Drosophila melanogaster: one gene and its partner. The protein of the gene in region 2 interacts with the protein of the main gene of each other region in a pairwise test. Each region holds a gene or a part of one and is shown on either strand. Other genes may lie near its edges. The genes, in order: cav and HipHop.

Region 1 (4,534 bases), on a different chromosome or scaffold from region 2:
TTCATGCGCAGCGATCACCTGTCGAAGCACATCAAGACGCACTTTAAGAGCCGCTCTGGCGTGGAGCTAATTGAGCTGAGCATCAAGCAGGAGACCAAGGGTGGCAATGCACCGAAAAGCATTAGCACGGTGAACGGCATTGTGACGATTGAGATTCCGGGCGGCGGTTCAGCGGCGGCGGGCAGTGGAGCCTCCAGTGTGGCGGCCACGGTTGCAGGCTCAACTGTGACGCCGGGCGGGGCCACGATCGTTCAGCTGCCGACTGTGGAGGCCAGCGGCGGGGGTGATAGTTTCGGCGATGATGAGGACGACGAGGAGGATGATGAATTGACCGAAGAGGACGACGAAGACGAGGAGCTCGACGAGGACGATATGGATGATTGCGAGGATGAGGAGGATGACGAGGATCCAGAACTAGACAGTGGCGATGAAGTGAAGATGACAATTGCGGTCAGTGAGCCTGGCGACAATTCGTCCAACTAGCATTCGGAGTCGCTGTTCATGGAACAGTTCTTGTTTGACCACTTCCCGTAGCACCCACCGCCCCCTGCCGCGCCCCATGGGACCATGGTTTAGCAATATATAAATTGTACATAGCGTAATTATGTAAAAGCGAGCATTTTAAATGTTTACCCTTCTTGTACAGCTCCGGTTGCGGATCATCCTAGATTAGTGTACATAGCTTAATCGACCATCGTATTTTAATTAAGATTTTTATTATACATTTTATAACATTTTTAGGGATTACATGTTTTTAATTAATTAACACCAATAAATGAAGAACTTTATATAGTTTAATATATGGACATCAGGCTATTGAGGTGACGTCGATCGGCTCAGATTCTGTATTTTGAAAAGTGATAGTTCCTTCCGAATCAATTGACGGTCCAATCGACAAGCTTTCCGAATTAATTTGATCACACCTTACCCAGCTCTCATTCATCTCTGTCTCTGGACAGTTTACCTGATCGTCAGGCTCTTGAGTCGACGTGGGTCGTACTAATGTGCTCAATTGGGTGCCAAACATATAGTAGTCCGGATCAGACTCCGTATTCCGGAAACTGTTATTTGCTTGCGAATTTATACATCCAGTCCGCATCCTTCCTAAATTAATTGGATCACATCTCACCGAATTCTCATTAATCTCTGTCTCTGGACGGTTGATGTTCTCATCCTGAAATCCTGACTGCTGCTGTTCGTCCTCATCGTCTCCGATGCCGCTAAGATCAGATGACGACACGCCTGGCGGAGCCATCGCTTCCACTTGAAAGTTCATTTGAGACAGTGAACTAAGATTTGTGTTTGCTTGGTCCTCGTGGCTCTGCACCGCGTCATTAGAAGATGCATGAGCGTCTGGAGAGGATTCTGGTGCTGATAGGTTTTGACTCTTTTTCTTTTGCCATCTATCCAATCGGCTGATGTTCTGCTTCTTAGTCTCGGCTGCAACTATTTCTCTTCGCTGGGCCACAAACTCCTCCGGATACGGTTGGACCATCTTTCTGCGCACCGCTTTCATATACATTCGGTTGATGAATCTCTCAGACTTGTTCACAAAACGTCCTTTTGCTTCAAACCTCTTTTTGGCTTCCCACAGACAATTCCAAGCGGTCATATCAACCTTCACTTTGGTGCGTAGACAAAGCTCCTTTACCTCGTCCTCGGTGTATGGGCGTGCCAAGTCCTCCTCGGTTATTCTCTTCAAATACAGGATACTATACAATATACAATTTCAATTTACAAAATGAAATGCGTCTTACCGTTTTTTCGTGCATCCATAGAATCAATTTGTTGTTAGGATCGCTTTCTTTGAATTGCGCACGAATTTTTTTGTCCTCGTCGGCTAGATACTTTCTCAGGAAGGCAGACATTTGCGTCCCCGACATATTAACCTTTTTTTAAAAACACGCAACATTAAATTAAATAAATTACAACTTTTTAAGGGCATTCGCGGCTAATGGATCTATCGAAACTCTGTAAGGTTATCGATTAGTCAGTATTTACAGATTTTAATGGTTTAGCTCGATTCTAGCTAAGTATTTTCGTTTGCTGTCAAAATAAACTCATTTTATTTTACAAATTAATAATTCAAAGCTCCTGATTTCAATCCTATAAAAAATATCAATTCAAAAAACAGGGGTCTTAACTGTCATACAAAATATAGCTACTTTCTCAATACGCTAGTTGGAGCCCCTGCTTGCAAATTCTTTCCGATAGCCGATTAACAGCAAGTGGGCATTTCCGCGTACGCCAAACCAGCGCACAAAAGAGAAATGGAAAACGAAGGAAAGCGAAGAACGAAAGTTTACACATAGTAGCAGCAGCATAAATTCACAAATAAATCGTCCATCCAGAGATCTAAACTACATAAAATATATCGCGTCGAAAGCCGAGTCCTCAGCAAAAAGCATTGACCGAAAAAAGTGGCTAGTAAAGCAAACAGTACGAAATATCTACGTGTTTTTATTTTCAGCCCTGCACCTCTTTGACCATCTGTGTGCGTGTGCGTCTTGTGTGTATGTGTGCGTCTTGTGTGTGATGTGCTCTTGTTTTGTTTTGACTGAAATCCCATTTGAGTAGTTCTTTTTACAAACAAACGTTGTCTCACACTTTATCAGAACACTAGGCCGGACTTCAGTTGGACGAATAAGCACGCATTTTGGACAAATCTTGCCGTGATACCGTCCGCTGATAAAACCGAGTGGCAACTCCGACTGCTCACCATGTATACAAAAACAAGAACCGACGATGAAAGCGAGTCGCGTGATAAATAAATGAAAAGCAGAGGCCCAGCAGAAGAAAGAGCGATCCAAAACGAATAGGTTGATTAGCAGAATCGTCGCTTCTGTTCCGACAAACACGAACGAAAAGCAGCAAAATAATAAAATAACAAATATAGGACCCAAATAAAGGCACCAAAAACGGTAGAAGTCGGTTAAATTTCACAGTGAATATCGAATATTGCTGAATCCCCAGCTGCGGCTTCCTTTTTCTTTCAAAATCCTCGAGTAAGTGCAGGCGGAGAGCGAAAAGAGCGCGCGAAACGAGGAGAGACGGCGAGTAAATTTGAGCCAGAATTTCCGATTGAGGTGACTTCCTAGGAATAGTGAACTGAGCCAGGTAATCCTACACAGGTTCCTGATACCCACGATTTTCAATATGCGACATACGGCTTTCCTTCTTCTTCTTGTTTTGCCCGCCCACGCCATTCTTCTTTCTAACTGTATAGTGTTTCTGTGTGTGCTACGCGTCCGTGTGTGTGCGTGTGTGTTGGTGCTTGCACTTTGCGCGCGCTTACCAAAATCATTTTCGTTTGCATTTATTTATGATTTACAATTTACCATCCGCAGCTGTGCGAAAGCCAATAGCAGTTCTTTAAAGCCTAATATGTGTATCTTTAAAAAAAGGTGCATAGACAACGTTCCAAAATACATATCCAATGCTATTTATTAATAAAATATAAAGATTTTTCCTAAAATCCTCCAACTATTGAGTTTGGCGGTATTTTCCATATCGACCTTTTACCTTGTACTTAAATTTTAATTAATAATGTTTAAGAACTGCTATTAGTTTTACCTTAGCTGTATATGTAAACCAAACCCGGACCTCAGACCCACCTTTGTTTACTAATACAAAATAATAATGGAAACCACTTTATTAATATTTTGCAGAGACGCTTATCATCAGGCGGTTATTATGAAAGGTTATGATTTGATTCCAATACTCCTAGATACATTTAAGCTAAAACTCAAAGCATTCATTTTTGTTGCTAAGCGAGGTTTTGTCTCCTAACATGAGCCCTAACTTCCTTGAAACAATTCCAGATTTTAACTTGTTATCTCTTACCTTATACATATATTAATATAACTCTCTTCTATATATACCGAACAGGCAATCATTATAAAATGTCTCGTAACAAAGACAAATACGACAGCGCCAATCGGCGGCAGCAGATCTTTCTGTCGCAGGAGGACATAGCTGCGGGCAAGAAGACGAACTGGAGTGGCCTAGAGATTACTGGTGGGTATCACACACTTAATCCCGAAAAATATCATATTAATTCTACCATACATCTGTTTACAGGCTGCGTCCGCAATATCAGCCCGTCGCTGTGGGAATTTGAGCATCTAACCGCCCTCTACCTGAACGACAACCAGCTGCTGCGATTGCCCGCAGACGTTGGCATGCTGACCAGCCTCCGAACTTTGGACCTGTCCAGCAATAAGCTAAGAAGTCTTCCCGCAGAGCTCGGCGAGCTCATCCAGTTGCGGTGAGTTTGTGGGTTGGCATAGGACATGATTTACGTTGTTAAATCGTATTTTAGTCCTATTATTATGTCTCATACTCTATTGCACCCTTAGCAGTTGATCTATTGTGAAATCGCTGTCTGGGCGCAGACCCTATTGATCACTGATCCATGCTTTTCACTAAGCCACTCCATTGTCTTGCCTCCTTTTAGGGAGCTGTTGCTGAACAACAACTTTCTGCGCGTACTGCCTTACGAGATCGGCAAGCTGTTCCACCTCGTCATACTCGG
Region 2 (3,789 bases):
AACACACTCACCGTTTGGGAGTTTTTGTAGTCAATCAACTGATTGGAAGCCGCATCGCGTCCAGCCATTTTGCTTAAAATTTAGGATATTTGCTCAACGGGATAACCAGAATTTAGAAACACTCGAACTGGAAAGTTGTTGATTTCTAGCCGCCTTCGGTTTTTTGCTGTGACTGCGTCGAGAATTCTGTCAACTAAAGCAACTGCAGCGCAGTTCCATTTGTTTTTATAGCCCAGCACCACGTACTTGTTGTTGCTCAGGGTTGTCGAGTGGGCCGAAGATATCGATATTTCGATTATAGTTGGAAATATATCGCTTAAATATTACATAATATCCATTATTATTCATATTTGTATTTAAATAGTATGAAATTCATTTTCAAAGTTTTTTTTTTGCACTGTCCATTTAAAAACGTGTCCCAACACCATTAAGATTTATTATTGATAATTTATAGTACCTTCGCTCCATTTGCTGCCCAGAAAGGTGAATAAATTTAAACTGTTTGTTAAGTTATTTATTTTTTTAATTTCATGAAAATGTCGGCATCATTAAGTTATAAACTAAGTCGGCTATCTATTGGTGCTCCTGCCAAATAAATATCTATGGCCTCTTTTTTTCTTAAGTTGTGAACCTCTTCCAGTGGTGCCTTTAAAATAAATGTACTTCATTCATATAATATATGTAAATATCATTAAACATGTTAAAATTATAAACTTCAAGGAAATCTCCAAATGGCGGCTATCTTTCTGTGGCTCCTGCCAAGCTAACATCTCTGTCTTTCTTTATTTTAGCGTACAAAAATATCTAATTAAATGAAACTTAGAAACTAGCATCAACTAGCATATGTATCTTGTTCTCTAGTCACAACTTAAAAAAATCACCTAACCACCTGTGGTTCCCATCAAGTAAATATCCATGGACTGCTTGTCCAGGACGGTCGGGCGCCTCTTTGGAATCGGCTGAATGTGCGGCAGTCGCGTGCCATTCACGGCGTTCAAACTGAGATTCGAGTTGGGGTCGTAGTCGTCGCAATCCGGAGTAGTCTGGGCCAAGCTCAGCCTCTGCGATGGTTTCACCATTAGGTTTGCCCTCGCAAGCTGGCGTTTTTGGATCGCTGCAGCGCTGGTAGTGGGCACATTGTCTGAATCTTGACTTAAGCTTCTGTGGGAGCACAGCTCTTCATCGGGAGTCACAATGCCCCCCTCACTGTATGAGGCACCGAATTCGGAACTTTGGCCAGAGACATGCAAAGAGGGCGCACTTTGGTGCGACGATGACTGACTGCCGCTGACGTCCGTAATGCTCGCGGCAGTCTCCCTGGCCATCTTGTGCCGTTTGGCATTGTCGTTCTTCTTCCGGTAGAGTCGCACCAGGTCCGTGTAGCACTTGCAGCAGATGAGGTTGCCCGCCCGAATTTCGCTGTTCAGCAAACAGGCGAAGCGCACCAAATATTTGTTGTTCAGTTGGCGATACGGCTTCCGCAGCGTGTGGTTGCCGACTGCGCAGAATCTCCGCTCAACGCGCGAGCCCTCGTCAATGGAGGCCATCTGGAATAGATCATGCACCTAGTTCTCCACAACTCGGGCTTACAAAACAATGCTTACACTGGCATTTTAACTTCCAAACGCAACAAAACGAAACATGAAGCCAATTGTCCCGCCACTTTGGAAACATATAGTGTGACCACATATGGATTGCTGAAATATACCAAAATTAGGCGTAAAATAAAATGCATTTAACTAATAAACAAATTCAATTTTTTTAAATGTTATAAAATCTAAAAACATACTGACATGGTCACAGTTTCTCACAATTTAAATGTGGCTTATTGTAATGCCAGTTAAGTAATTAATATGAAGAAACTATTCGTTTAAAATTGACAATAATCTAATTATTGGCGTGTTCGATGTTCATGAAATACTTATGTTATATCAGTTAGTTTGAAAATTGACTGTATTTCTTCTGTTGGTTGTATCAATTAAAATGAGTTTAAAAACACATTTTTTAAAACCCTAAAACCACATTCAAATCAAACTGTAATTATACCAACTAATACTGAAAATACCGAAAACTGCAAAATCAGCTGCTCGCCGAACAGCACTCAGCGTGCTGTTGGACGCGAAATGTTAGCCCATTAAACCCAGGTTATTTTTTGTCATTCATTGTTCATACGTTCGTCTCGTCTGATTTTCTTTTTATAAAAACACAATTAAAATTTCAAACGAATACACATAATTTTTATAAATATAATGTAGTGCAACACGTATATGTATAATATAGCTTAATACCAAGTGCAATCCCTCGAAAGATAACTTCAAATGGCAATCTAATTTACGTAAAGAGAAGAGACAAAAAAAGAAACGGCGCGTGTGAAATTTTTTCAAGCAAAGCAAAGGAGAGAAGTTGGAGCAACAAAAAAAAGAGGAGAGAAAAAATACAGCAACAACACACAAAGTAGGCCAACAACAACAGCAAGAAAAAAGCAAGCAAGCGGCAACAACCACAGCAACAACAATAACAACGTCGAGCGAAAGAAGCAAAAACCTTGTAATTGTGTCAATAAATGTTTTAAATAATATTTCCTTTGGGAAAGGCACCGTGTCTGTGTGCGCGCTTCGTGGTGTGAGTGTGCGAGACAAGTGAAATTTTCTTTGTTTCCCTGCGGGGGAGGAAAATACAAAAAAAAGAGTCAAGAAATAAAGTTGCCTTGAAACAACAAAAAACGCTGCCCCAAAAAAAGTGTATGCATGTGTGTGTGTCTGACTCGTTGTCTGCTGGTGTTGGTGAGTGTCTGGCCGTGTGTGAGTGTGTGTGGCAATGAACGTTGAGCAACAATAATTTTATTTATTTGGAATTTTGCTGCGCTGTTTGCTTGCTTTTATCTTTATAAATATACGCACAACTACAGCGCGATAAATGAATTATGAAAATAAAAGTCCCAAGTGCTCTTTTAGCAATGAAAATGTTTAGCCAAAAAACGAAAAGCAACAAAAACAGCGGCTTTAAGGCTGCTGGACAGGTTTCCCACGGCTAAAAAAAATGTAAAATACGAAAAGGAGCAACACGACGGCGACGTAGAAGAAGAAGCAGCAGCAATGCGTGAAACGCGAAAGCAAAGTGAAATTCAAGACAACAACAACAACAAACACGAAAGCATAGCGGCTAACAGAAACCGTTATTCAACAATTTCTTGAATAAAACAACAACGACAACAACAACAACATCGTAAAGCATACAAGTGAAAGAAGGCACAAAATACTGGTTTACACAAAATAAAAAAAGATAAAGCAGAAGAAAGAAAGCAAAGAGAGAAAAAGTTGCTGCACGAGAAATTTCGTTCGTGTATGGTCTCCCCATTTCTATCTCTGCATATATGAGAGTGTGTGGTGTGTGTGTGCATTAGTGAAGTAAAGTGAAAAGCAATGCTGCAAGGAATTACAACAACCACAGCCAGTTTACAATAAATATATAACAGTAAACGGTACTTAGGACCACAACAAAGAGGCCAAACAAAGAAACGAGATATTTGGACAAAATCTCAAGGTAAGTGAAGCAAAGCTGAATATTTCGATGATTTTCTATAAAAAAGTGCGTGCTTTAATTAAAGTGTGGGCATAAGTATCGAACAAAAGCGTTAATATTGAGAGACAGACAGAAAAGAAAAGGGAGGGAAGGCATGTTGCCTCGCTTCATTTTTTTTTGGAGCATGCGAAATGTCTACAGGTGGCTTATTTACAGTTACTTTCTTGATAACAGCTGCTCGGCCTTCTCGTCTTTCTTTCGTTCATT

The links.
Region 1: the proteins of HipHop (region 2) and cav interact in binary tests that used the Drosophila melanogaster proteins (3 or more experiments, as listed by UniProt).

The regions. Positions count from the first base shown.
Region 1 is NT_033777.3:24,219,698-24,224,231, reverse strand, and holds cav (caravaggio), read right to left. Parts: upstream 2,702-4,534; 5' UTR 2,491-2,701; coding exon of another isoform or gene 2,479-2,490; 5' UTR 2,325-2,478; coding exon 2,307-2,324; exon of another isoform or gene 2,267-2,306; intron 1,991-2,266; exon of another isoform or gene 1,890-1,990; coding exon 1,758-1,889; intron 1,697-1,757; coding exon 809-1,696; 3' UTR 704-808; downstream 1-703. Other genes in the region: Spps (Sp1-like factor for pairing sensitive-silencing), read left to right, coding at 1-483; twin, read left to right, coding at 3,385-3,404, 3,669-3,700, 3,889-4,017, 4,081-4,267, 4,457-4,534. UniProt on the Drosophila melanogaster protein: Part of the HipHop-HOAP complex that recruits the MTV complex to form the terminin telomere-capping complex, which binds to chromosome ends in a sequence-independent manner and prevents telomere fusion.
Region 2 is NT_037436.4:18,819,065-18,822,853, reverse strand, and holds HipHop (HP1-HOAP-interacting protein), read right to left. Parts: upstream 1,684-3,789; 5' UTR 1,548-1,683; coding exon 882-1,547; 3' UTR 501-881; downstream 1-500. Other genes in the region: Cat (catalase), read right to left, coding at 12-68. UniProt on the Drosophila melanogaster protein: Part of the HipHop-HOAP complex that recruits the MTV complex to form the terminin telomere-capping complex, which binds to chromosome ends in a sequence-independent manner and prevents telomere fusion.